Lepisosteus oculatus: one gene and its partners. The protein of the gene in region 4 purifies or fractionates together with the protein of the main gene of each other region. This does not show direct contact. Links are inferred from orthologs where the notes say so. Each region holds a gene or a part of one and is shown on either strand. Other genes may lie near its edges.

Region 1 (7,643 bases), on a different chromosome or scaffold from region 4:
AAGAAGGATGACCAAGAGTGACTTGCTCCAGTACAATTGAAGTGATTTTGGCATATTGTCTCAGCAAAACTCGGTGAAATGGCACTTTCAAGTCTGTGAAGAATCAAGGAATCTTGTGTTTTTCTGTATATACAGTATTACATTTTAATCATCTGAAATGCAATCTCAGTTGCTTTTAAGAGCTATTGGAATAACTCGTTTAAAGGTTGTATTCTGTCTCTTATTTCTTATCAACTGTGTTAAAGCTCAAATTTTAAAATAAAAAGCCACATTAAACATTTACGAATTTTCCACTTTTTAAAAAAAACTTTTCTCTCTTTTACGTTGAAATGGTATATATCAGACAGTTTTAATGGGGAAAATTAACTTGCATGATTAAACTGAATTTAAAATTGATAACTGTTGATATTAAAGTCCAGAGAATAGAACCTTATTAAAGCCTTTTCTTATATTTAATTTTTCATCCAAGTGTCTTTCACCATGCTTTTTTAGTTGCATCTTCTAAGATGACCTTTTACAAATATAACTATATACAGTAGCACATAGCATTCTGTGCAACAAAATTCTCAAAGCCATTCTAAATGAGAGGGTATAACACATTGAGATACAGTACCACTGGCCTTTAAAATTATTCTGTAAAGTAATTGTTTGTTTCATATCCAGCCAGTGTAAACGGTCTATTCCAATTCTTTTTATAGTTCAATAGCAAGAAGTATTGTTAGTAAAATTGCTAATTTTGTTTTATATGCCTGGACTTGGGAAGCTATTGAGTAGAGTAAATTCTGATAACCACATCTTTCATTAAACAAAATAGTGTTTTACGTATAAAAACCTCTAGCTGATTAGCAGTACCATACATTCAGTTGCCAGTCTGAAGTGTGAGAAATGGGGAACATTATTAACCATAAATTTAAGAGGCTATTTGAATCCAGTGATCACTAGGTCAAAAAAGAATAATATTAGTATTTCATTGTTTCTGAATTCTTAATAAGAAATATTGATTTAGAAAATCCCTGTATCAGTGGATACCTTGTCTTGATGTTTATTTAAAATGATGTTTTCTCATCAGTGCTTTTATAACAATAATGATGACTAGATAGGGCTCTCCTGTTTTTTTAGTTGGTCTTCTAGGACTTTATAGAGTCTAGTATGTTTCAAAAATTGAAAAGTTAAGTCACAAAGCTATTGCAATGGCAAGGCCTTTACAACTGATTTTAAAAAGGCCACTGAACATGACAGCTGTTTCTTATGTGGTCTTTGTTATTTGATTTTGGTTTCATATGTATATGTATATAAAATGCTTTCAATGTGCATGTTTATAATAAGATAAAATGGTGACAATACTAATACACAACGATATACCAAGATTAGAAGATTACGTCTGGTTGTTGGAATTGCCACTTTTATCTTCTCTTCTTTGCATTTTATTTATGATGGAATACAACATCTTTTCATACAGTAAGTCTCCAAATTAAGCCCAAATTGAAAAAAAAGTTACTTTTAAGTACCCTTTCCAAGTGATCTTGTCGTGGACTGGGATCAGTTTATTGCTGAAGCAATAGTAAAAATAGGCCCCTCACTTCAAAGTGTATATGGAATAAGTGGGTACTGCTGTACCATATTAGATATAATTTACCTGAATATACAGTACTATATTATTTATTTTATGTTAAACTTTTTGCCTTAAAATCTGAACCACACTGGCTTAATACACCAGAGCCTATCATGGTTCCTTTGGTGTTAAGCAGACATTATGCCACTCTCCCCTCAGGACAGGACTCTGGTTCATCACTGGGGTTACCACCCAATAACTGATGGTCCCCGATGGACTGCAGCAAGTGGGGTAAAGTCTGCAGAAGGGAATTGCACCCACAACCCAAAGTGAGTCCAGAGACTTACCCACTACGCTAAAACTCCCCCAAACAGCACATGAACATAGAAAATGTGGACAGCTTTTCTTGTACCGAACTATATCTATATAACTGGGGCTATTCAGATATAGCCAAAGGGAGTTAACCCTAAGGGCAAAATATAGCGTAGACAACAAAAGGCAGCTGGTAAAACCAGAGAAAACTCTTATGAATGAGACCCTGCATACTCTAGACACGAGATCAAATACTTTGGCTGGATGCATAAGTCCTGATCACTCTATATTGTATATTGTAATTATATTAAACTTTACATTGATTGCCCTAGAGTTTTGTTAATCTGGTCTAAATCCTGCTTGTTGGTGGGCAGAACTAAACAGCCTTGGAGTGGCCGTGGGCTGCTACCTCTTTCAGTACTAAGTGTGAAGTGAGTGGCCCAACTCCTGAGGTCACTGGAGGCTAAATTGCCAAGTATATAGCAAAAGTTTGCACCTTTTCACTGTGTGTTAACTACCAAAATGCATGACACATGAAGACAAAAAAAAAAGATATGAAGAATCATCAAAAATCCCTACAATTTTGATAGTAGAATATAATTATTTTTAACACCTTTCTTCCAAATAATTATTTGGTAATAAACCTACTCAATTTGGAATTGGCAATTGTGTGTTTTCATGTCTCGGCTCACAGGTGCATATCTTGTACCAACACATAGTGACAACAAGGAAGTGCAGACAGATGTGTCTGGCCTCCCCACCTTTGAGTCATTGATCTGTTAATACATCTCAGGTCACGCAGCTCGCCACAGGAGGCACTTCTCCAATTGAAGGAGAGGCAGTTCCTTTGCCAGTCCTGGTGCAGGCTTGCAGTAATTGCTGTTTTGTTGGGATCTAAAAGCGCCCTTGCTAACTAATGCCAACCCTACCCTGTGCTGTGCTTAGTCAATTATGTGTCAACCACTTGAGAAATCCCATCACAGTCACAGTGACCTAACCCGGGCTTGGAACACACAGTGCCAGTGCCAGTCCTCAAGCAAGCATCTTCACATATTGAGCAACTCTGGAGCCCACATATAATTATTGCTTAATACATGTTATAGTGTTGTTCTTCTTAATACTGGAAACAAAGAATGAAGCCCTGGCGAAGAAACCAGCCACTTAACCTAGCCCAAGCTAATAATAACTGGCAGAAATCAGCTTCATTATTCTGAAGATAGAACTTGTTTTGTGTTTGCGTTGTAAAAAGGGCACCCTGACACCATCTGTTATGCAACATCTTCCCTTAAATACAATAGAAATAGAAAGTTGCGCAATTAAAAGAAAATGCATTAATTCAATAGTACATTTTAAGATGTGATTTTGAGAGACGGTGCGAGAGGTGGTTTTCTTTTTGGGACATAAAATAAATTTTTAGGTCTGGCTCTAGCCAGAGGAAAGTGCTCTTGTCATTACTGCCAGTAACCCCATCAATAGAGCTCTTTGAAAGGCTACATCCCTGTGCGTACTTTTTGTAGGGAATCATGTTTTTTTAAGGCTTATTACGTACCTCTATTCAATCACCCCTTTTGCCAATAGATTCTTTATTTTCTTTCTAATTCATATTCTGCCTATATCCCAAGGGGACACTATCAGCCTTTGTCTAAACACCCCGAGTCCTAGTCTTACTACTACTTTCATCACAATTTATTGCAAAAACCTAAAAGCAAATTAAGAAACTAAGATGTTGGTAATACATTTGGTTGAAGGGTTGGGAAATACATTTTTTAACAGTGAAAAGATATTAATACAACAGCATGGCTGCTTCATCACAATAGGCTCTACAAGGAGTCTGTTTATGATACAATCATGGGATTAGTGAAAAACCTGATGTACTGAATCTAATTTCTAATTACAAACAATAATCCAGATATTATTCATGAATCCTCCCTTTCATGTATAATTTCATTTCATGGAGTCAAACTAAATTTAGGAGATGGAAAAATCCTGTTTAGAAAGGGTCCTCTCAATATGGAGCTCCTGTTTAAACATGACAGAAAACGAATGTCAATAACTTTAGATTAATAAAAAGAATGTCAATAACTTTAGATTAATAAATAAAATGATACATCACATCACTTTCAAAAGCCACTTATCTAATTCAGGGACATGATGAATTAAAGCCAATCCCAGGAAGCATTGGGCGAAATGTGGGATGCACCCTGGATACCAGTCCATCACAGGTTTCACACAGACACCAAAAACGCACATTGTCATACCAGGGTCTATTTGCAGAAGCCAATGAATTTACCATTATGTCTTTGGACTGTGGGGCAAAAGCAGAGCACCTACAGGAAACCCATACAAATACTGCGGAACATGCAGAGTCCTTGCAAGCAGCAAACCAAAAATTGATCCCAGGATCTCAGCATCGCAATGCAGCAATATTAACCATTGTTCTAATTTACAACAATAATAATATAAATAACTCAAGTCGATACGATTAATATGTCCTTACACTAGAACTAATCCATCCTTAAAGTAACCTTCACACTAGCTCGCACTAGACAGAGGAGCTGAACTAATAACTCCCATATTTGTTTAGGCAATAGAAATGACATCATGTAGGACAGACTCTCGCGGTGTTTCACGGGTCTAAGACTCGGGAAAGGACATGCGCAGTGAACACCACACGTGTTCCTTTCCACATTGAGAGAGTGAAGATGGCGGACGTAGAGGGTAGGCATGGAAAATAATTTTGGGTTTTTCTTTATTTTTATATGCAATTCGAGGGGAAATAGTAGTAGTCAATTGTACTGAGATACATAGGACAAAGTAATTCAAGCTCTTTGAGACCGATTTAAGACTGGATCTTTTGTAGAGAAAATAAATCTCACCTCGTGTGTGCTGCATGGGGCAAGTGTGCAACTAGACGATAAATGATCAACTTGCCTGTATTTTTACATCTTAAGTTTGATCAATCCGGCTCTTACAACGTGTATATCACTATTTAAGGCGTCTTAATTTTAATAATTGCGATCTTGAATCTTAATATGTAGGGTACAAACGCATTAAATGCTGTGTTTTTGAATATAAACTTTACAGTAGGAAGAGATACATGAATTTCACTGTTGCAGAGGATGTACCTAGCTTTTTTGCATTCGATATTTTTTTATAATCCACAATGTAGTCACTTTCATCGATGAAGTAGCAAGCTTTTGTAATTTTGTAATTTTGTTTTTGAAGTTAAAAGCGAAAGTTAACATTTGCTTTAAGATTGCTGAATGCTGCACGATATTACTAAAAACGATTATTCTATACGTTTTAATTCAGTGAGTCAATTGTGCTTATGGTATTTTTTTTATCCATTTAAAAATTAATGCCTTGCACACCGCCAAATGTGGTCTTTTTCTAGTCACCACGTGTTTTCAGAGTCTGCCACGTGGTTGTATTGAACAGTTTTCCCTAAACCAATGCAGCCCGCATGTCTATTATTAATCAAATAAAGATACATTATGTGCGAATTATGATCATGAATGCTCTGAAGAGTTGCTAAATTAGAATATTTTAGGGACTTGACTTTTCCTAATTGTCATTGATGATGGAAACATGATGATTTTCTTATTCCAAGAATTTATTTTGTTTAATAATTATATGTAGAAAGCCTGTTGTTTTTTTCCAGAAGAGTTTACAGATGTAAGAGTTATTATAGGAAAGTAACCTTAATTCATATGATTATTCATATCAAGAGACGTGATGTGCTAATGTTACAGCAACAGTCCATGATTATTTACTGAGAATGATTAATTTCCACGGTTTGAACTCTTGGGTTTCTTCTTTTCTCTTTTCTCAGTTTCCTCAGCTAAGAAGCACAAGAAGAAGAAGGAGAAAAAAGTTGCCGATGATGAAGTTGGGGTAGGTTCCATGTAACATGGCTTTTTTGGAATGTTAGCAACTTTTTTGGGTGCAGTAAACTTTGAAGTTTTTATAATTGCTTACATTGTAATTTAAAATTTTCATAACATCAAATGGATTTTCCCCCCCGCTTTAGGAACTTCAAGAGATGGGTGATTTCCTCATCAAACCGGAGTCCAAAATTCCAACACTTGATACCTCTCAGTGGCCTTTATTGTTGAAGGTAACTAGATAATTATTATACGTTCCTGTCATCCTTCTAGGAAGCTCCCATGTATAGTGTTGTATGTGAGATGATGAACTTGTTTATCCATTCTCTGAGCACTGCTGGCCTCTGTCTCTGCAACACTCTCGGCCTGTTCTAGGCCTAAGTGTCTCGGCTCCCAGACTCGGCTTGGCCATTCCAGTGTTCTGCTGGGGGCGGAGCAGGAGTCTGGAGAGCTGGAGCAAGAGGCAGAACCAGCCTCTGCAGAGACGAGTAAACAGTCTGATCGCACAAGTTCGATGGGGAGGGGTTAAGTAGCCTGTTGCACAAAGAACATCCAATGATCAGTACTTGCCTCACATGACAATATAGCTCACTTTGTTGGGATATGCACAATGTAAGACATCTGCTTCTCAATCCAAAAAGTAACAGATTTATACAGAATTATTTCCCTTATCACTGTACCTGAATGAAGGTGCAGATCACAGTTCTACAAATACACAGTGTTGTATATGCGGTGCTGGAGGGTTCCAGTAAGGCAGCACAGCACATTAATGTAAATACCATTTCACCTGGCCTTGTGCCTTTTTGCTCATTAAAGATTTTTTTCAGGAAGTGTACAGTAAGCAATATATAAAAACCTTGACTTTCTCCTCTCTTCCATTCCATTAAGTATTAAATGAAGAATTGGGTGACACTTTGAAAAGTAACACTTTATGGATGGATGGTGTAGGTGTGACAAAGGTGGTATGCTAAATACATTTGTGTAAAATCTCCTTTTTCATTTGTTTTTTTTGTAGAACTTTGATAAGCTGAACATAAGGACAGCACATTATACACCTCTCCCAAGTGGCTCAAATCCCTTGAAGAGAAATATTCAGGATTATGTCAGGTACAATTTTTTTTTTGCTGTATCTTTAGGGATCTTGGTTTTCTAATTGAAACTAATGCTGGCAAAGTCTTAACTTGAAAAATGCACTTAAACTCTTCGTCCTGTGTGAAATGTGAAACAGGTTGTCTGTTTAACATTGAAAGATTTATTAATCTGTTTTAGGTATTTTAGTGCTTACAGCAGGAAGATATTACCTTACACCAGACAAATTTACATTGTTAGAATTTTCTACTTTAAGAGTTGTCTAAGATCTGAGAGAATGCTTTAATTTCATAGATTGATGACATCCAAGAAGCCAAATGATGTTTTTATGTAGATTGCATTAGCACTCTGTGCAAAGATGACTGTCTATCTATCACCCATGACTGATGGCTTCAGGGAGAAATGTTAAGGCAACCATTACAACTCCTTTAGTAGGCCTTGTGTTATGCATTTGTTTTTTCTGAGTTAATACTGAGTGATCTCCTATTCTTAGAAGTTATACTGAAATATTTTAAAATCTGTAGGACCGGTTTTATTAACTTGGATAAACCCGCCAACCCATCCTCTCACGAAGTGGTGGCGTGGATCCGTCGGATTCTTCGTGTGGAGAAAACAGGCCACAGTGGCACTCTGGACCCTAAAGTCACAGGCTGTCTCATAGTGTGTGTAGACAGAGCCACGCGTCTGGTGAAGTCCCAGCAGAGCGCTGGTGAGTGGGTATTTCTTGTCTTCTTTCAGTCTCTGAAAATCGTGAATTATAGTCACTTGTAAGTGACACAGGAAAAAAAGCAGCTTCTCCTGACTAC
Region 2 (7,245 bases), on a different chromosome or scaffold from region 4:
CCTGAAGGCACACTCATTTCCATGTAGTCTGCTCTACAGAAAGCACTGGACTAACAAGAGAAGGATTGAGAAGCACAGCAGACACTCCAAGGTGTATTCTAGTGTGGAGGTGGGGGCTGTAAATCAAGGCTTTTGGGATTATTCAATTCAATTCAAATTATTTTTATATAGTGCCTTTCACAACAAGGTTGCCCCCAAGGTGCTTGACAAAGCAAGTGACCATACGTGTTGTGAATACAGAACAGAAAAGACCAGAAGACAATGGAGGAGAGGAACCAAAAACATCTTAGTAAGGAGAAAAAAACCCTCTAGGGGTCCAAGGTCAACTGGCTGCCCAACCTCTTTGGGCATGCTAACATTATACAATTTTAAAAAAAGGAAAAAATTGGAAAAAAAGGAAAAAATTACACAAAACAATGAAGGGTCTTCTTTCAAAGCACGCTCATACTGTTCAGTCATTTTCAAGGTATTCCATGCAGAAGGGCTGTGAAAACATTGACACAGTAATAAAACTAAACTCCTGTCGTGATATTCACTAAAAGTGTCATTTTGCATGTAATTACCGTTCAACCCCTGATCACCTACTCAAAAACACAACCACATCCGGAGTACCAGAAGCATTCTTAACAGTTACATGAAGGTTGTCTAGTTATACGCTGTTTCTAGTTTGTAAAAATCAGAAAAGTCCCTTACTTTCATTTTCGTTACCTCCCTAGAGTACGGCCTGTGTTCTGTGGCTCTGAGCGACAAGCTGTACCTGGTTGGTGGACAGACCACCATCACCGACTGCTATGACCCGGAAAAGGACCAATGGAGGCAGATGTCTGCGATGAAGGAGAGAAGAATGGAGTGTGGGGCTGTCGTCATGCACGGCTGTATTTACGTCACAGGAGGATACTCCTACTCCAAAGGAACTTACCTTCAGAGCATAGAGAAGTACGACCCCGAGCAGGACAAGTGGGAAATAGCTGGCAGCCTCCCCAGTGCTATGCGATCGCATGGCTGTGTCTGTGTTTACAGTGTGTAGATCTGCCTTCATTGCATCTGGACTGCAGTGGCTCGTCCATTTGAGAAAGGGCAAAGGTGAAGTACCAGCTGTCACGCCCTCTGCAGCCAGAGGGCGCTCCTTCTCTGGCCTGTCTCTTGTTTCCGGTGCTTTGCTGTCCTTCCGGTGTTTCTCGCTCTCTGGGGCTATATATTTCTGGGTCTTTCATTTTACTTTGCTCAGCACTGAGGTTCAGATGCCCTGAAACCCGCTTAGCACCAGGTCACTCCTGTCCTTGGCCTGAGGGCATAGGTTTCTATATGGCAATTCCTGAACAGCTGAGCCAGGGCTAACCCCCGTCTCGGTACAGTTTGTCCTTTCCAACATACATGACACCAGCAGCATCCATCACTCCATGCGCTGATGTACGATATCTGAGGCAGCACATGCGTTTGTGAGTCAGCAGGAGAAATCTGAAAAGCTATTCTCTCTAAGGAGTGCCCAGCCTTTTGTAAGATAGAACAGCAGCCCTTCGATTTAAAAAGCAGACAATCAATATGATGGATTTTGTTGTTTTTTTTAGCGAAGCAAAAAAGGTGTACCCTTGAGCAGTGATCTGATCCACTTCAGGTTTCACAGACTGCTGTGCGTATTGTACTGTACAGAGATGTCTGCAAGTGGCAAAACATGACATGGATCAAAGTGCTACACACTAGGAGTCAGAATTTTTAAATGTTTCCAAGGAAGTTATTTTAGGAAATAAGATTTTAAGAGCTCAAAAAGGAAAATTACATTAGGGATGAAAAATGTATGCAAATGTTTCCTCAGATTGCCTAAAAGAAATAAGACAAGTAAGAGGTCTTAAAAAATGTGCAGCATAGCCAACACAAGACATTTTAATGAAAAAAAGGTCATGTTTATTATGCTAATGTGGTGGGTTAAAAGAGCTTTTTTCCTAACAGAGACCATAATATTTCTCATTTAAAATTTTACATTAGACTATTTTATGATGCAATAAAGTATTATAGGGTTATAACAATGAGTATTTCCAATAGAATGATACTGTTTAAAATGAACAGATCATAAGATACAGTAGATAAGAACATAATAATGGTTACAAATGAGAAGAGGCCAGTCAAGCTCGTTTAGTTGCTGTTAGGTCTGAGGATCTTATATAGCTATTAAAAACACCTATCACTGACACCAGAGAGAGTTTAGGAATCTATATTTACCCTATGAACACCTGAAAAGTATAGTTAGTGCAATCCTTAGTGTATATAGTATACTGTATATACAGATGAGATAAATGTGTTGATCAGACGTCTGAGTATTATTTTACTGTAACTGGTGTTCAAGGACATTTGGGCTAATATTATGAAGTACCTTTATCCATTGCTCTGGAAATACAGAATTACGTTCTGTTATTTATGAACTCTTTGGATCACAGTAACTGCCATTTTATGTTCTCTGAAGAAAAATGTTTCACTTCCCCTTCTGTATCGTGAACAGAATTATTACCTTTTGGTTCATTTTGGCTTGAGTTCACCTTTGCCTCTAGGTATTAAAAAAAAGGCTCATTATTGACAGCAGAAAGAGCTCAGCAATCTGTGAATAGCACGTGGACATAATACCTAGAAAAAGCACAAAAGCAAGTAAAAGCCTAGAGGAATTTTTCTAATGTATGAGTCTAGTTTTTTAGACATATAACCAGCTGCAGTATTCCAATGATCTAGTACAGCAAACGTTTTTTAAACTTTGATTAAATTGTTGCTACAGTGTTTTGTACTACTGTATATATCTTTGATTTTAGAAAAAGGAATTATAGAAAATAAAGGATTCTTATTTCAACACCGTTGAATTTCCTCAAAGGATAATTTTTTGGGGAAATCTGTTCATTTTGTTTACTAATGTATTTGCATTATTTATGAAGAATATGATGTTTTAAAAGCATTGTGTGTATTGGTGAATGTTTTTTTAGTTCTTTTAAATAAATTATGTTTTGTTTCAGACACGATTTTTCAAGAAGCACAAAAATATGGTAGAGCAAGAGTATTAGAAGGTCAGGAAAACCGCACTGCATACAACCCATTCTGTGTCTTGTCTACACGTCCATAACCACTTTGACTAATGTTTGGGTACGTTTTAGAGCAGTTTGCAAGAACGCTTGATTTGCACATGAAATGTTTATGTTTTGTTATTACCTTTTAGAGATACGTTTACCATTTTGATATTTACTTTGTCATTTTTTTTTTACTAAACCGAATTTGTTGGAATTTTTTTTTTGCGGTGAATGATTTCATTTCAGCTAACATACAACACTGCCACCTTCTAGCCTCCTCCCAGCAACTAAGCAAGACCGAGACTGGATGTTGGAATTCATTGGAGAAATGCGGCCCCCACCTATATATAAAGCTCTTTGGTATCTTTTCAGATAGAAATCATTATGTAAATGCAAGCAACTTCTATTGAACACCGAAAATGTGTACTGTAAATTCCTCAGCAGAAATCTACTGAATTGTCTATGTGTTTGAATGCTTTTGTAATATTTGTTTTTTGGTATTTTGAAATTCATGAATTTTGGTTAACACACAGCATTTTGTAATAAGGAATAAACTGTTATTATTAACAATTACTAGCCATGTTATCATTTACGTGGCTGTGTATAAACTGTGATTATATCGTTTACAGTCTGCTGTTAACAGACAATCCATTTAACCACATTCCAGATTTATCATAATATTATTATTCCTGAAAACAGCAAGCACGGGCTATAGCGATTTCACGATCTGTTCTAATATATTTTTACAAAGCTTTACACGTTCTGTGTAATAGAGAATGGTTTGTTCGGATAGGTCAATCGTCTTCGTAGGACCAAAAACACCACCCTTTTCGGTTGCTGCACACGCGATCTAACAGAAGCAATTTCGACGTTCGTAGGACGTGAGAGCGTTTGGGCCATCCCACGCCCCGTAGAAGCGCAGTGGTTTCTGGGATAAGAGTGCGTGCTATAAGAGCTTATTACAAGAGCAGGTAGCTACGGGCCGTCGGTTATTTGGGGGAAAGAGGGATAAGGTTAGTTTTGTGGCTTATTTTTTCCTTCATGTACATGTTGGTTTGTGTTCTTCAGAACTATGAATGCTTCTGTGTTGCGGGGTGCAGCGTGTTCTTTTCTAATCGAACTTCCCACGTAAAGTTCGTATGAGGCTTCTGAGAAAATACCGGTACGAAACTGCTTTAAATGTCATTTTGTCCATCTCGGAATACTTATGGATTGGACGCGTTAAGTCCAAGTACGGCACAAACCTAAACGGTAAATTTTAAATTTGCATGAAGTCGCTTAATTTTGGTTGGGTGGTGAAACATGCTGGTTTCAATGCAGATTTTTTTTGTGACGAAACAAAAAAACGTGGAGACCTCATGTTCCGGCAGGGGGAGATGGGCGGTGTGGAAGCCTCGATTTTCTGTTAACTGCTTTCTCAACTCTCTGAAGAACGCTTTTGGATGTATTAAATCGGGTCGTTAGGCTGAAATGGAGGAAATGTATCGCCACTTTGCTTTGCAATTGTGTTGAATAAAGTTTTAACATAGCCCAGAATTGTTTTATCAATTTTTAAAAGGAAAATTGCTCTTGGATTGTTTCGCGTGTTTACGATTTGTGATGTAATTATATGTACAATACTACATTTAGAGAATGCTCGCTTCATGAATTCAGTGAGACCCTCCATTATGCTACGGGATATTTTTGTCTGGAGTAGATTCCTGTAGCCTCAAGAAAATCTGCATCTTTCCATTTCTGACCGCTTTATCACATACAGTACAAGGGAGCCGGAGCCGGCGAGAAACGGGCGCAAGACTGCGTTCGCCCAGGGCAAACATCTGAAATTACCAGTTAGGTGAAAAATGCATGCATGCATCAGGGTGTTAATGTTTTAAGAAATTGTGCCTTTCAGATTAAACATGGCAGATACCAACCAAGAAATGACGACCCTTGAGAAGAGAGTTGCCGAACAGATTGAGGTAAATTTAAGGATTTCTTTTAATGATCTTTTAGGAGAGTTGCAACAATATATTGCCCCTCAATGTAATGTTAATCACAATGATACTGTGCAGCTTTACCAAAGGAGTGGGATTTCTTTGCCTTAACAGTACTATTTCGGTGACCATAATCTTCCAAGAGACAAGTTCCTCAAAGAGCAGATACAGCTAGATGATGGATGGGTGCCGCTTGAAACCATGATCAAATTTAACAGGTATGTAGTGTTTGACAGCAGTGCTAACACGCAAACCCAGTTCTATCTGGTGCTTGTCTTTGTAAAATGTACTACAGTGTACGTGCTGCTTTTAAAAAAAAAAAAAGTCGGTCTATTCAGGGGCAGTATCTGTTTATGTTGCTGTAAACGCACTGATATGCTTTATTAACCCACTACACCACAAGATGCAGTCTAGTGTTAGTATTGGACCTGATATTTACTTGCTTGAGTATAAGGCAGCGTCAATTGCGCCACCTGCTGGCAGAAAAACTAAAAACGGCGATTATTGAAACCGACCGTCATTATTTTGAAGTCTATTAAATGGAGTATACATAGAATATTTAATACTACTCAAGTGGCCACGTATATTTGACAGTATTGTACCTGGTTAATAAAATAAATAATTGTTATGGGTGTTAAAGTCATGTGCATGAAATCGAAGTAAACAATTATAAATGGTTATTGACCCATATGAGGGCTGATCTGGGTTCTATAGCAATGTGTTTAACCTTATATATTCTTAAATGGAATCCCTTTAGGGGTTACGTTTAAGAGCAAGAAGGAGTTGCTGTGACTCATGGGGATGTATTAATATTTGCTATATAACCCTGTTCTACTGGCTGAGTATATAGCATTGCTGGTTCTTTTTAGGGTGAAACAACTGTCTATTTGAACTAAAATAGGTGAAGTAGAATTAGGTCTTTAGTGTTGCTACTGCAGCAGCTAATGTTTATATATTTCATAATTCAAAGTGAATTTTACTTGCTCTTAAACATCACAACGTTGAAAGGTGTTCCTTAAATATTCTGATATTGTCTGTCTGGAATGAATCCTGATTGGATTGTTTCTTGCTGTAGGCTGAGCCGTTTAACCAAAGACTTCAATGTGATTACTGATTCACTGAGAAAATCCAAAACTGGGCTTATAGAAATCAGTGAAGATAAGTCAAAGATAAGAAGATCCCCAGATAAGCCTCTGCCCGAAGCTAACGACGAGTACAAAGATGCAGTTAAACACAGATCAGTCTACATTGTAAGTAAGGCCTTCATTGGATTCTTATACTTCAAGTAGAATTTCTTTTATCATTTGCACTGACTTTATTTCCTTCTTTTTCCCCAGAAAGGTTTTCCCACAGACTCAAGTCTTGATGATGTGAAGGAATGGCTAGAAGGCAAAGGAAATATTGAAAATATTCAAATGAGGAAGAATGCACAAAAGCAGTTCAAGGTTGGATATCTGACTTTTTAAAAATTATTTCATATTCTATGTCTTTCTTGTCTTTAACCTTTTTTCTTTGTGCCTTTTTATAGGGATCAGTATTCATCGTTTTTGACACGGATGAATCTGCTAAGAAGTTTGTTGAGATGCCAGATTTGAAATACAAAGACAATGAAATGATTGTGCTTTTAAAGTAGGTATATTTTGCTGATCTGTGGTGAAATTGTATTAATTAGTGCATTTTAAGTGCACAATTGTCCATTTTCATAGTTTTTACATACATATATGGGCTCTGAGTACAGCAACATCTTTTCTAGCATGCAGTTTTGGCTTGGTATATTCGTGTTAATCATTCTCTTTATTTCCTCCAACCTTTCAAAGATCTGCTGGCTGACTTAATTGGTAACTTAAATTGTGTGTGTGCCCTGCATGTCCGTCTAGAATGTGTTCTTGAGTAAAGTTATTTTTGTAGCTTTCTGACCATGCATGTCAGTAGGGCGAAAGGGCTTCCTTCTCTGTAACCTAGCTAATTTGATTCATGGTGGCTTAATAACATCCTTAGATTAGCTATTTATTGAAAGATCTGGTGGATCTTTTCAGCAGTAGTTTGAGGGTGGAAGTTTACCATCTCAACAAGTATGTCAAGAACAGCTGAAATGTTAAACAATAGTACTTTCTAAGAACATATTTATTTTAGGGAGGATTACTTTACAAAGAAAAATGAAGAAAGAAAGCAGCTGAGAGCTGAAGCCAAGGCAAAAGCAAAACAGTAAGTAGGCTTGCCTTTTATTT
Region 3 (6,962 bases), on a different chromosome or scaffold from region 4:
CGAGGGCTCTGCGATCATGGGTTCGAGCATGGGTCGCAGCAACTGTGTTTGGATGTCCTGTATCGCCCTGCAGTTCCGTCAGGCTTTCCGTCCTGTAGCAGAGTTCCGAACGAAAGACGCAGCTTCTGTCTCAGTCTTGAAAAGCGTGACTTTTGAAAGACGGCAGCCTGCACAGGTCAGGACCCAATGTGGGACATCAGCTCCATTCCCATGGGGCACTGCATGGGGCTGAGGGGCGCAAAACCACCATCAACACCTAGAACTGCGCTGCTCCTGACAGGGACCCCATTACTGCCAGTCACTTGCTGGAAAAGGCTGGGATCCCTTAACTTATTCAGAACCAACAGAGAACCAGATAACAGAGAAGCATGGAAACTACTGATAAGTGCCTTCGAAACTGAGAACAGGAGGCAGTTTTTGGAAACAAACTTTTCAGCAGTGTTGAAACCAATGCCATGGCTTCTTCCAAGAAATGGCTGGATGAGATCGATCGTTGAGTCAAAAAGCTACTAGCAAAGGAAGGGCCCTTCTAGTGCTCTTACGTTCCTCCACGCTGACACGGGCAGACAGGGAAGATATACAGAGGAGGGTGGGATCAAGCTCCGCGGTTTGTAGGTCGACACAGAGAGCGATAAGTGAGCAACAGACATACCCCAAGTCGGCGTCCCCCCCAGGCTGGTTCGCCTTCAGGACAAAGTCGTCCTCCAGGATGTTATCCGGATCGTCAAAGTTGAAGTCCTCGTCAAGAGCCGCCACGATGTCAGGATCCATGTCCAGCCGAGGGCCTTGGAGACAGAAGCACAGGGTGAATGCCGTGCAGACGCCACTACGACACACTAGTCTGCACTGCACCAGGGGTGGAGGCGATGAAGTCTATACAGAAAGACATCTTCTAGAGAAGCCACTACAGCCCTCTACAGCTATACCGCAGGGAGCATTGAGTGGTATTGAGTGGATTTATCCGATTTATGATTGCTGTAATACCGATCTTCTAACTAGTTAATCTCCAGTTAATTTAGTTCCATCTGTAGCTGGATATTTAATGATTTCCAAAGGTTCCTACGTCAGAACTAAAAGTGCTCCCTTTTTTCCCAGCAAGCTAGTACTGGCTCCTGCCATACTCGATCCGTTTATGGATCATTTCCACGCCCCGTATCCTTCCTTCCGCCAGTGTCAGGTCACACCGTGAAAAACCAGCTCTAACTGCACTCCCATCGCTCACAGCTCCCTCGCCACAGCGCCGTACCTGTAACTGGTGCCGCTTTATTGAGCAGTCCCACCTCCTCCTCGAACTCCGAGGCAAACACAGAGGAAGGCAGGTTGATGGAAACGGCCTGCGAAAAGACACCCAGGAGTTTGAAGGTTATAAAAGGGAAGATTTCTCCTTTCAGGTGTGAAATACGTGTGCCATCCTTGAGCCCTGGCTGTAGCTACGGGTTCCTCATATACTCTTCTGAGACCAGGTGGCTCATTGTACTTTTGATTGATAGAAAAATTATATTATTGCAGGAAGCACTTTTGGACGTTTACCTTGATAGTTTTTCTTACTAGAAAAACATATGACACCTAAAAAAATAAAAAGACTAAACGAATGCTTTCACTGCAGCATCAGCACTGATTAGATAGCTGGTCTGTAGCAGTGTGTTACAGGGCCTTACAGGGATGGTTTCGACCTCCTCTTGCACGGGGCCGCCTTCAGTGACGAGCAGCCGCCCGTCTGTGTGCGGTCTGCTGGAGGAGACCAGCTCTGTGGAGGCGGAGGGCTCTTTGAGGTGCTGCAGGTAGTCATAATCGTCATCAAAAAACACCCCATACTCCCTCTGCTCCTCCTTCCTTTTCTCTGCATCTGCCTGGAAAAAGAAAAGATCTTCCGTGAATCACCTCCTTTTACACACTGATCTCTCGAATACAAAAACACAGCATTAGCTAAAATGCAAGCAATAATTTGTTCAAAAACGAGAAAGTTGTGGCACAGTTGCTATTGTCGTTTGCAGATCTTTTTGTTTGCTACAGTTTCTTTGCTACTTAAGTTCGGTTAAATGCGAGAACACAGGGAGCTCAAAGCAGTGACTTGGTGAAGCCTGTTCTCCCTCTTTTAAGGACTGAAGTTGTGCAAAACTGGCTGTTGTTATTACACACAGTAGGGCTGAAGATATGTGAGACAGTAGAGCTGTCTTTACCTCTGGTAAAGTTTTGATAAGCGTTCTGTTAATGCATTTAGTACATTAAAAAAAAACATAACATCACTTTATTAGCCCCATACAATTTCTTGCATTAGGAATTTCTGCAATTTCCCTCACGGGATCAATAACGTATCTATCAATCAATCAATCAATAAATAATTTAGTACATTAACTTTTAACTCCTCCTTGGCAGTTCTTTTTGATGGCGTATAAATGAAATGGAACAAAGCAGGAAATGCAGAAGACGAGTGACAGGCTCACCTTGCAGGCAGGTAACAGCACATGTTGGGGTGCCTTCTCATCCGCGGCAAGGGGGTCTCGCTGGCTCCTGTGCACCAGGTGAAAGGTCACTGCTTTCTTCTTCTCAATGAAAGGCTTCTTCTTCTTGTGAGGCTTTCAAAATAAATACGTACGACGTCCCCAGTTTATTAAAACACATTAGAAATGGATTTCATACCTCACATAATGAAATTCAGAATTATCTGTTTTATTTTATTTGAATGTTTAACCCAAAGTGGAATGTCTTGGGCAGCAAAGGTCATTAAACCCAGTTAAGATAAATTCAACACAACGAACACAACACAAGCAGAGAAACTGAAAACAAATGTTAAAAGCGTAATTGGTAAAGATTCATACCATGCCTTTGCTGAAGTTCTGTAATTATTCCAGAGAGATGCAACTACGGTAGAAGTGGATGTATCTTCTGACTCGCAGGTAACTTAATCTGAAATGACAACAGACACCTTCCTAATTAATTTCGTTTACTCTAAAACGCGTATAAACCACGCTTGCACCCCAGCTTGGAACACGCTACCAGCGCCATTACGGAAAAGACCATCTCATTCGTGTAGCTGCGGTGTCCCCATAGGCGTTTTAAATGAGCCATTATGCCTTCATCTTAAATGTTGCCATAACAATAAAGCAAGACACTCAAATAGGACATTTTTGTGGCGTCTCAAAATAAAATAATATAAATATTCGAAAAAGAATGTTTTCTTCACTTGGTACTTTCCATCAGACGAAAGTAATCGAAAATAGACCTTCGGATGAACACTTGCCAAGACATATTAATCAAATTCATGCAATCCAAGTTGACGGGGTTTCGGTGAAATGTACAAAACAGGATTACACGTGACAAATGCAACAGATACCAACTATGCATACACTGAAAAAAAAAATAGGCTATAAGAGAGATTCGAGTTTTTTCAAAAGAAATATTAATTTCTTACAACTATATAGTGTTTAATCATTCTTTCCATAGTATCCCAGAGTGTTTTACGCAGGGGAGAGTCCCACTACAGAGCAAATAAATTCAATATATGAACTAGAATTTATCCAGGACACTGGGATTGACAATCCTACTCCTGAAAATAGTGCGGCCGAAGGAACTGCTACTTACTGGCCCACTGAAACTTGTTTTCCTTTATAGCACAGAACTGTTCAAGTGTCGAGGGGAACAATAAGGGCTCATCCTGATATCTAGAGTAAATATCCATTAGGTTGCATCCTTCTCAGAATTATTTTTTTTTGGATACGCGATAGGGATATTTGTGAAATAAAAGATATAAAGCAGACTTTCGGGGAGGATTAACTATTTTTCGTTAGCGCTAAACATTCAAAAAAGCTAAATAAGTATTCCAAGTGATAATACTGTACGACAGTTTACGCACAGGGTACTGAAACAGGATTTTTTGCAATTTTCTGAATTTTCCTTCCTGAAACGACCTGTAGTGACGGTTTATACAGGCTATGTAAAATGAACAGAAAAGGCGATTTTATCAAATGATTTTGAGATCATAATAATAATAATAATAATAATGACGATGATGGTGATAATGAGACTGACTACACTTCCCATAGATGTCATCATAGTTCCTAAGAGTTATATAGTGCTTTTCTGGACACTCCACTCAAAGCGCTTTACAGGTAATGGAGATCCCCTCCACCACCACCAGTGTGCAGCCCCACCTGGATGATGTGACGGCAGCCACAGTGCGCCAGTACACTCCCTGCACACCAGCTCTCAGTGGGGAGGAGAACAGAGTGATGAAGCCAGTTCAGAGACAGGGATTATTAGCAGGCCGTGATTGGTAAAGTCCGGGGGGGAATTTGGCCAGGACGCCGAGGTAACACCCCTACTCTATTCGAGAAACGCCCTTGGATATATAGTGTCCCTGTGACTATACTGGGGCATCAGACCCATACAGACCACAGGATGAGCGCCCCCAACTTGTCCCACTCACACCAATTTCAGCCACAACCATAGTTTTTCCCAGGAGGTCTCCTATCCAGGTACTGACCAGGCTCACACCTGCTGAGCTTCAGTGGATATACATTGTGTGTTACAGCATGATATGGCTGCTGGCAAAAAATAAATCACATCTGTTTTCTAGTATATCATAATGCTATTTTCCAATGTTGGAGGCTAATCGTATTTCTCATAACATGACCGATATGCCTGGAATACTGGAATATGCATGACTTCGTCATTCCTGTGAAATGCCATTTAGTTGTAGACATTACGGATAACCTATAGCCTCTCGTCATACATGTACTACTGTTAATATCCTGTGCTCATTACCTTTCCTCACCTAACAATGCTTTGTGGCAGTTAGTGTATCACGATGTTGAAATAATGGAAGAGATATGTTGGTCTAAGAGCACAGTTATTTGGTTACCTGTTGAAGTGATCGGACAGTCAATGTCTGTTTATATCCATAGTTATGCCGGACATGGTAGAAACAGTTAGAGTGCCCTCTTCTGGCCTAAGATAAAGACCCATCTTCAAAAACTGAACAGTTAAATGTTTCCTACTAATGGAAAAACGTGTTTTGAAATGTAGAAACGTTAATATTCAATTCAATTTATTTTTCTATAGCGCCTTTCACAAAAAGTTTGCCCCAAGGCGCTTTACAATGCAAGTGACCGTACGTGTAGTCAATACAGAACAGAAAAGACCAGAAGACAACGGAGGAGAGGAACCAAAAACTCAGAGGAACCAGTCAAGCTGGGAGTAGGATTCACTTGAACTCTATCCTAAAACAGCTGGGCATTGCTTTTTAACCTCCTGTGTTTTGGATATACTTTATCTTAAGATCTGCAGCTTGAGCATAAAAAAGTATTGAGAAAAGTGCTTATTAACCAACTCATTAGTTCAATGAAGCAAAGAGCTTGGTGGAAACTAGAACCATCAGGTGTGAGAGTTCCCAGAACAGGGTCCTAATAGAGGTCTAAAGCTGAGCATTTCTATATATCATATGGTAGAGGTTAAAACCTCCTGTCTAAATTTCAGTTCAGGTTTCTTGAGACTCGCACCCTGTAGCTCCATTGGTTTAGTAATTCTCTGCCTTACCCCGATGCAATGAGCAGCTGGAGCAGCACCTAGGGGACACAGTGGGTGACAGCTCCTGGATGTACAGTACTGAGGGACCCTGTGGGAAGAGATGTGCCTGACCAGTGAACAATGCCAGTCACAGGGGAGCTCCAGGTGGCATGCTGGAGCACTGCGGCCTCACAGCGCCTGGGTCCTGAGATCATTTCTGGATCTCTGGATTCCATCCAGAGAACCTGTGCTACTTGGGCCCTGTGGTCCCAGGGATGAGTGCCTTCCTCATATTGTACCAATGGAAGTTAAATCAGTTGATTGTTAGGGATTACCGAGCTTCCAAGTGTGAAAGACCTGTTATTCGAACAGTACCGCAACCCTCTCGAACCAGTTGTCCACCCCTGTACTACAATACTGTATATAATCATAGGATGTTGTTTAACAAAGGACAACAATTTTCTACTACATTACTTAAATACCACCCTCTAAAGAAAATTAAACAAGCTTAAGGTAAGAAGCAATACCCACACACAGCTTTGACACACAAAAGTTACAGTAAAACCCTTTTATTGTACATTTGGTAGTTTCATACTACACTGTGCAGTGGACACAGTCCGTTGATGCTTCAGTAAAACATCCTACAACCACAGCTGTGCCTCAAATTCTACAAAAAAGGTTTACAATTGGCAACTCAAACACACTTTACAATACGTGGACAGCCCAGAGCGTGGAATGGCAGCAAAGTTTAACATACAAAGTGTCCTTAATGTTTTGCAGTGAATTTACACAAATCAATGTTAAGCGGCTTTTAACAAAGGGCATTCTGCACGAGATGAAGAAGTCATTCCAACACAATCCAGTTCCCTCTTCAACATCAGCTACATGCAAAATATTTAAGATGTGTAGTTCTGGAATGTGGGACACTTCATATTTTATGTCTGCATGATACTTTTGATGCCTCTTCACAACATGAAGTAAATAAAACAGAGCCCTCTGAAATCTCTTCACAGAAACTCCACATTCACACTTCAAGTGAATTGAGGCTGCCGACTGTTTGGAGAAAGGCTTTGAAACTATGTCACGTCCATCAAAGAACTCCTGTTTATCAGAGCTCAAGAGCTGCTCCACTGCAATGTAGCTGGCACAGAAATAAATACAGTGTTATATACAAAGTAATATATGCAATTGTGTTTTTAAATGTTTTCACTATATACTGTAACAATGTAGGTTTTAAAAAATACTCGATGATTTTTCACATAATATAATAATTGTTTACAAGTACACTCCCTTCGAAGGTAAATGAGAATTTAATGAAGTTTATATACATTCTGTACAGGACACATAGAATTTAAAAATAATTACGTTCATAAATTACATTTACAGTTTCTAAAATATCACCTAGGCCTCAGTTGATGTCATTAAAACTCCATCAGGGCAACATTAAAAAAAAATCA
Region 4 (7,532 bases):
GATATGACATAGGAGCTTTGAGAATCGAACATAGTGGGAAAAAATCGTCTGATTTCACGGGAAAAAGCGGATTAATAGTGGTTTTTATTTGACCAAATCTGATGTATCTGAATAAAAAAAAGGGGACCGTTCCGAACTTAACATTTTAAACAAAAGTACCCCATGTACTGAAGTATTATGGATTAGTATTAAGCCTTGCCACTAGGAAATCAATATATCCTTCCTTTGATTTTCTGTAACCATCAGGTTATTGCAAAACAGCCACCGCAGTGTGCTCCACCATTATATTAAATACGGAAGATTACCTCCATCGCGTCTGGCTGCTGCAGTGGTTGTTACGTTTATTTTTCATCGGCTACTTTAGAACATACATGTTCTAAATTAATTATCGGCTTTAATTATCATGCAACTAGCTATATCTCAAATCTGCAGCAATATACGCTGTAGCAGTTACCACTGCCATTTTAAAACCAGTCAATGGCGTAACATTACATTACAAAAAGGGGTACTCTTCACTCAAAACTGCTTTTTCTATTGGGACACAGTTCTCACGTTTTTAAATTTGACAACATTTTGAGTGAATATCCAATGATATGAAAGAACCACAAGTTAACTGATAAGTCATTAATGGACTACCGCATCGTATGAAAAATATTATATTTGTGGTTGACAAAAAATGAAATAGGATGCAACTTTGCTTTAAACTGGAAAATGAGGGACAATAAAAGCGTTAGTTAATATATCACAACCCAAGAAATTGAATTCATTGTTTTTAGCCCCACGTAAAATATGCGGTTTCAGAAGGAGCCGCCAATAAATCAAAACCTGGCACGAATAATAATTTGTTTGCCAAAATGTTCTTCTTCGTATCAATTGATTTTGACATGCGATCCTTTTTTAATTCGGGTCTAGATGGTAATTAAGGGGAAAAGGAAACACAAATCAATATCCAAACTAGTTTTATGTCCAAAACGAAATAAACTATTTGATGTTGTCGTTTACAGACAAATCTATCAAAAATACGAAATAATGATTGCACGATAAACAGCAGAAGAAATGTTCATGGTCAAATGTTTACAACAGTGCAGTGAAGAAATCAATACATTGATTTATTGAAAAATCCAAACATCCGAAAAAGAGCATTCAGGCACTTCACACACACATCAGTAACGAATGACAATCACCACGTAGCCCCAAAGTAAGATTTTTTTTACATTACTTTAAAATGATCGATACTATGGAAAATATAAAATATCCTTTGTATTATATTTTATAAATAAAATTATACCGAAACGCGCTGTAAAATCGAATCGTTAAAGAGTTAAATATTAGTAAAACGTCAGCTATTTTGAATACATTTTAGGTATTTCAAATTTAATGTATATGTGCAAAAACGTAAGTTAGACAAAACGAATCTAAAAATATAGAAATAGCCTATCAAGCAAAATCTAATTAATTCTGTCGTGTCTTGGGAAATTATTAGTTTAGCACATTTCGTTTTGTAAAAAATGTACGTATTTACTATAGCCATTGTAAGTACAATGTTAAGTAGGCGAAAGTAGAAGAGCAGACAGCCCTGTGAGCAAATTTCGTCTTCCTAAACCGCCTCATCTCAAGCCAACAGAATCATCACACATACGTCTCCAGCAATTTGAGCGGCACGGAATTACGTTTTCGATATTTACACATATTTCTAACTTTTCTTCAAACTCTCTTGAGTGCCATAATCCATATCTGTTGCGCGAAGGAAAACGAGCGGCGCTATCAATTGTTCTCCTCTTCGTGATTCAGCCTTGCAGACAATACTTTAATAGGAAGCTTTCTAAATGAAACACTTAAAATTACGCTTTCGTTCCCAGAAGGCCAAATCATCCTAATTTGTATGACTTCGAAAGCTGATCAAAACGTCTAACTCTTCACTCAGAATTGCTTTTGGTCTTTTGGTTTTCGCAATCGAATAAATATTTTACTTAGGGCTGTTTTGTGTAAAAAAAGTTAAATTGCCTAAGTACAGTATGCTATGCAAGGTGGATCAAAGTTGGGAAAGATGTTTTTTTTTTCATGACTGTTGAGAGGGCATGTGAATAATTCTCGTATCCCTAGAAACACACGTCCGCATGTTGGTGCTCCTAGCCGTGGCACGCGAAGGCATTTTGACTCCCAGCGCACGCGAGCGTGCTGTCGTGGTGACGCGCCGCTCGAGATCCTCGCTGATCGCGTGCGTGTTTCGCACGATAAAAGAAACGCGGCTTTAAGAAACTGACCTGAGCCGGTGTAGTAGCGCCACACCTGGGCAGGAGTCATTAAACCCCGAGAATGCGAACCTGTAACCAAAAAAAAAAAACGCCAACATAGATTAAACGATCCACCTTTGTGTGCCTGTGCGCTTCTTTTAGACAGCTAGCCGAGAGGAGTAATGAGAAAACCACTCTCTGTTGTCGTAGTTAGCATCCATCCTGTAGCTAACTTGGCAGTCCAGTTAAGCTAGATAGATGATTGATTAGACAGATATGCGATGCACGTACTCACCAAAGCACAGGCCCATAGCTGCAAGATAAAATATATCGGGAGACCTAGACCAGAGCCTCAAAATGAAGATTCTTAAGGGACTGGACCGCAAAGATCAGGTTATTCCACAGTGACAAACGCAATCTACAGTTTCAGATGTTTTCATTGCGGGGAAAACAGAAAATAGAATGTTTTTCAATATATGTAAAACCAATATAAAGGGAAACGCAATTGCTTGTCCAATATTACAGAGCTAATCCAGTAAGTAATTCGGTCGCTCCCCCCCAGTCCGAAGAACCGTCTTCTTCCCTCTCTTGATCTCGTGTCTCTCGCTGCCGTCTTTTATACCTGCAGAAGGCGAGCTAGACGACAGGCAGATTTAAATTTGATGTTACAATAATACACCGAGATATTCGTTAACCCCGTGCTGCCGCTGTACGCCTCCGCTTTTAATGACTAATTAATGTAAAACCTCAAAGTGTGAGTTTGCAGATGGCGTCTTCACCCCCCATTGTGCCAAAGGTAGAACCGCCAGCCCCTCAGACAATCAAGGACAATTAAGCCGCATCTGCTTTGGAGGAAAATTTAAGATGCTGGCGATGCGTCACCTCGGAGAGGGCTTGCGGTCGTCGGCTGAGCTGCAACTCACCTGTTGAGGCATAAGGAGACGATTGTTAGGGAAACCCGCAGGGCTGTGTTAGTCAGGCGTGAGTCACATTTTCACCAGGAAAGTTGTAAGCTTTCCGCAAATCCGAAACCACTGGTGAGCTAGCAGTGGCGTTTCTGTCAGCCCCGCTGTACCTGTGTCACAGCTGCTGGTCGTGAACCAAAGAGCCCGCGATGTCGCGGGGGATACATGCCCGATGGTAGCCGTCTGCCCAAATCTGTTTTTCTTATTAAAGAATATTACGCTGTTTCAAATATATTACTGTAGGGAAAACACTGGGCTTCCTCGCCCTGCAAAAAAGGTTCTTTCTTTTCAATCACCGACGCTGACCGAAAATTAGTTTTTTTTTTTCAAGTTGGAGGGGGGAAAGAAATGGAAGAGGCTTAATTATATTATATATAATAATATATATAATTATATATTTTTTGGCGTACATTGCATACAGGGATACTGTCTAGGCATCTTTATTAAGCATTCAATCAAGCTATTGCTTGTCACAAAGTCACAAAGACAATTCCGACAGACATCCAGAACCAGATGAGACAATCTGTTAACCTGCATTATTTTGTCAATGGACCAAGCGTTCACATTGTCGAAGGTTTTTTTTTTAAGTCATGTGTTAAAAGCATTTAAATCCACTAACAAAACTTAGATTGAAGTTTGATACTAAAATGTGCATTATGCTACCACTGAAATTCTTTCTACATTTGTTTGTTTTACTTATATTTTTAAAGGGTTAAAATATTTTAAATTTAATATAACATACAGATTCTTTCTGGCTTCTTTCTGCCTGTGGGAGATAAATAGGACTAATACACTTTTGTACAAATGGCAGGCTTAGAACAGTTTCCATGACAACTCATGGTCCTTCTTTGCCTATAGAAAGAGGAAGTGACCTTTGCCTGACCTTTGTCACATAGAGATGCTTGGAAACAATGCAGCGCGTGCTCAGAAAAGACCTACACTTTCAATGAACGAGGATTCAGATATTACAGCTCAGGAGAACGTCTCCCTAGGTGTCTAATCAGAGCTACCTCTAAAGGACTTTAACAGCCTGTTGAAAGAAACTGGGCACTCTTCAGTCACAGGTACTTTAACTGTAGATCCTTCCTTGTACTAACAGTCACAACCCACATGTATATTTTTTGCTGACCAAGCTTTCACTAAAAGCTAACAAAGGACAAATGGGAGTTTCTCTTTACTTAAACAATAAGAAAAATATAAGCCCATCGTTGGTGATCGGTAAAGAATTTCCTTGTACACAGGTCTGAATAAATGTTTCTCTGCTTTTAAAATGTTTGAGCAACATTTAATGATTGTGGTCATTCCGATTCACACAAATTGCCAGAAACAAAGGGAAATGTTTGACCCCCCTACAAAAGTATGAAAAGTAGCAATGTGTATGCCCATGCCCTCACACTGTGAATCTGATCTGACCAGGCTTACCTGTCATTATAGCATTACATTGTCATGACCATGTCTTACATGATGAAGTGGCCATCAGGTAATGTGTGGAAGCATGGCTTAGGTCCAGGTCACTGCAGATCGGAATAAAAAAGCCAGGAGGAAGTGCTAAAGAGTGCTGTTGTCTGCTTACATTGCACAATTTCACACAACATAACAGCTTTCCCTATGCAATCGATGTAAAGGGGCAGCCCTCCCTTTCCGGCAAGCACACTGGCCAGAACAGATAACAGCCCTGCGTCCACGAATAACAGCCTGTCAAATTCAAGCCCTCCCACCCCTGAACACCAGTAAATAATCAATACACTGATATGGGGCCCCGATCAATTCTCTCATTTAAAAGCGCTCTTCTTGTCTCACACTATTATGCGATGATCCCAGAATTCCCACACCTGCCTGAATCCGATCAGCTTCCGATCTTCTGGGGGCAAAGGGCAGGAAATCCAACAGAGCTAACGGGCCAGTTCGCGATCTCCTGCCCCAGCCGGAGGGGCAGAGGGTGATCCAGTCTCACAATAATGTTTAGGGGATGTAAGTAAATGTGCAATGATATGTTTGTATTGTCAATGACTGTAAACGATGGTATAATAGCTGCTTTCCTAACATTGTAATCAATCTGTTATGCCAATAAAGCTCTTTGAATCTGAAAATTCGAATACAAATCTGATTCTTCTTCCACAGACCCCTCCAGGCTTTAAAATCCTTGCTTTCTAGATCAGAAACGCCTACCATGCAGGATTTTTAAAATGTCACTGACTCACAGGAGTCAATAAGGGACAGAGGATAGTGGCTTGGATGGATTTATAGCAATCCAATCACAAACACCCCTAGATAGGCCAGAACAGCAATACGCCAGCAATTTTTGTCGCCATTTATTTTTCTTAAGGTTTTCCCAGTCCTTTCCGCGATCTGACAAAGAGCAGCATGCCTAACCTGATCTTAATCATTCCTGCCATTTCCAGGCAACGTCTCTCTGGATTGATTGGCTGTTGGATTGGTTGGCAGATCAATGCAAAAACAAATCCGGTCCCATTCATAATGCTGCTAAGTGACTAACCGTTTGGGGGAGAAGAGAAACGCGATCGATAACAGAGGTGTACGACCCTGGCCCTGCCAGCAATGAAACCTGAAAACAGCTGTAGCTGAAGTGCCACGCAATGTTTATTTTCTCTCGTACGAAAAGGAGCAAAAAAAAAAAAAGGCAGTCTCAGCAGGGAAGGCAGTTAATCTTTTGAGAACCTTACAATCCCCCCCCAGCTCGTGTTTCCGGCAGCTAGCAGGAAAAAAGACAATTGCTTACTTACTGGCAAAATCCCCCCTCACCACTCCTCGTGCGCAGTGCAAGAAGGGAACTGAATCAATGTGACAGGCGGCTTCAGAACATTGGACAGCACTGGGAAGCAGGGAAGCAGGGAGAGAAGAGCAGCCTGACCTTCCTGGCATGAGCCAGATCAGTGCGTGTCCAGGACCTGAGGGAGGCTGACTTTGCATGTCCCAGCCGTAGTTTTTCCCCCTCTCTTGAGATTTCTCCTTCTCTTGGGAGCATCCTGCGCTCGACGTGATCAACACAACCCATGCAGCCCCCGTACCGTTAAGAAGACCGCCATGCCCGATGAGGTTTGGATGGTTTTGGAGCTCTGAATACATATGGCCTCTGTCTGATAACAGGGCAGCGGACTGCTTGCTCTGCCTCATTTTCAACCAGCCCGACGTTGCCCATCCTCCCCACAGAACCAACATCGAATGTTTTCTCTCTGCAGCTGCACTTAAATCTCCGTCAACTTATAAAACAACACTCTCATGTTACAGAAGTACTGTATAAGGGCTATTTCAGTCTGTTCAGCAGTGAACAACTCTGCCTCCATTGGTCCCCAGGGACACGTAGATTTAAGTCTTTTCCTTTTCAGTACTTGATTGCATTCAGTAGGTGTTATGTGCTAATAATAAACCACCTTTAGGACGTTCTGCTATTAAGTTAAAATAAAAAATTAAATGAATCCCATTGCTGTGGAAAAAAAAACATTCCTCACATGGGATGAGCTAGTTGCCATTGGAAAATGCCAGATTTCAAGCACATAGAGGAAATAAAATTAAGGAGGTCAAATAAAACTACAACAAATTGCAACAACGTACAGTAGTTAAGATATATTGGTAGTTTCATGTTTTACAAACAGATGAATAATTATTATCTGATTAAAGAAAATCGTCTGCTGAATTAAAACTAAGGACCAAGTTTAACTTCCGCTCCATTCCAACAACATGTTCTGTTGAGTTACTGTTGAAGAGAAGCTAATGTATTCACATTGCAGTCACGAACTTCAAAGCGGCCTCTAAAAGAAAGCCCTAAACTAAAAAGGCTAGCCTAATTATTTAGCGGCGTTCACGTACAGTAACTGTACCACAGCACCCAAATTCAGGATATTTTTTGTTTTCGATCGGTCCGCGGCCGGAAACCGTCGGAAGGTCTAGCGCTCCCTCTCGTGGTTAGAAGGTAGATTATTTCTTGACGCCAAATACAGTCACTGTTCTCCGATTTTCCGAATATCTTCGATCTGTTGATGTTCTTAATGTCAGAAAGTGAAACTGAAATCAAATTTACTGGAGGAAATTTAGCTATCAGATCATACGAAACATCTTTGCTGAGGTTATTTTTCTCTCCTCCTCGACTGCTACACGAATCCCACGTAGACACAAACGGACAAACTCGTCGCAAATGGAGAGAAAAAGGTTCACTAAGACTGCGAGGTGCTCTACTGGGGAGTGTATAATGTTATGAATATGCATACTATTAACACTGACCATTTACCGCCCATTTAAGGTACAAGATGGAAATTTTAATCTGCCCTTTCAGGTTGTTTCCATAATCTAGCTGGCATAATTGCCTGCCCCCTCA

Evidence for each region.
Region 1: the proteins of protein lin-28 homolog A (region 4) and dkc1 purify together in Homo sapiens (affinity purification with mass spectrometry; 3 studies listed by BioGRID and IntAct, with this or other methods). This does not show direct contact. The link is inferred for Lepisosteus oculatus from reciprocal best matches to the Homo sapiens genes LIN28A and DKC1.
Region 2: the proteins of protein lin-28 homolog A (region 4) and ssb purify together in Homo sapiens (affinity purification with mass spectrometry; 3 studies listed by BioGRID and IntAct, with this or other methods). This does not show direct contact. The link is inferred for Lepisosteus oculatus from reciprocal best matches to the Homo sapiens genes LIN28A and SSB.
Region 3: the proteins of protein lin-28 homolog A (region 4) and ltv1 purify together in Homo sapiens (affinity purification with mass spectrometry; 3 studies listed by BioGRID and IntAct, with this or other methods). This does not show direct contact. The link is inferred for Lepisosteus oculatus from reciprocal best matches to the Homo sapiens genes LIN28A and LTV1.

Annotation. Positions count from the first base shown.
Region 1 is NC_090703.1:36,226,754-36,234,396, reverse strand, and holds the start of dkc1 (H/ACA ribonucleoprotein complex subunit DKC1), read left to right. Parts: upstream 1-4,531; 5' UTR 4,532-4,566; coding exon 4,567-4,582; intron 4,583-5,696; coding exon 5,697-5,758; intron 5,759-5,894; coding exon 5,895-5,981; intron 5,982-6,046; exon of another isoform or gene 6,047-6,253; intron 6,254-6,763; coding exon 6,764-6,855; intron 6,856-7,149; exon of another isoform or gene 7,150-7,229; intron 7,230-7,361; coding exon 7,362-7,546; intron 7,547-7,643.
Region 2 is NC_090707.1:15,906,089-15,913,333, forward strand, and holds the start of ssb (lupus La protein), read left to right. Parts: upstream 1-4,123; 5' UTR 4,124-4,183; coding exon 4,184-4,206; intron 4,207-4,935; coding exon 4,936-5,002; intron 5,003-5,131; coding exon 5,132-5,235; intron 5,236-6,092; coding exon 6,093-6,267; intron 6,268-6,354; coding exon 6,355-6,462; intron 6,463-6,545; coding exon 6,546-6,646; intron 6,647-7,150; coding exon 7,151-7,222; intron 7,223-7,245. Other genes in the region: klhl23 (kelch-like protein 23), read left to right, coding at 717-1,027. UniProt on the Homo sapiens protein: Binds to the 3' poly(U) terminus of nascent RNA polymerase III transcripts, protecting them from exonuclease digestion and facilitating their folding and maturation.
Region 3 is NC_090712.1:1,926,553-1,933,514, forward strand, and holds the start of ltv1 (protein LTV1 homolog), read right to left. Parts: upstream 3,096-6,962; 5' UTR 2,823-3,095; coding exon 2,820-2,822; intron 2,577-2,819; coding exon 2,445-2,576; intron 1,851-2,444; coding exon 1,659-1,850; intron 1,335-1,658; coding exon 1,247-1,334; intron 786-1,246; coding exon 653-785; intron 1-652. UniProt on the Homo sapiens protein: Essential for ribosome biogenesis.
Region 4 is NC_090706.1:5,681,417-5,688,948, reverse strand, and holds the start of protein lin-28 homolog A, read right to left. Parts: upstream 3,032-7,532; 5' UTR 2,546-3,031; coding exon 2,530-2,545; intron 2,325-2,529; coding exon 2,265-2,324; intron 1-2,264. UniProt on the Homo sapiens protein: RNA-binding protein that inhibits processing of pre-let-7 miRNAs and regulates translation of mRNAs that control developmental timing, pluripotency and metabolism.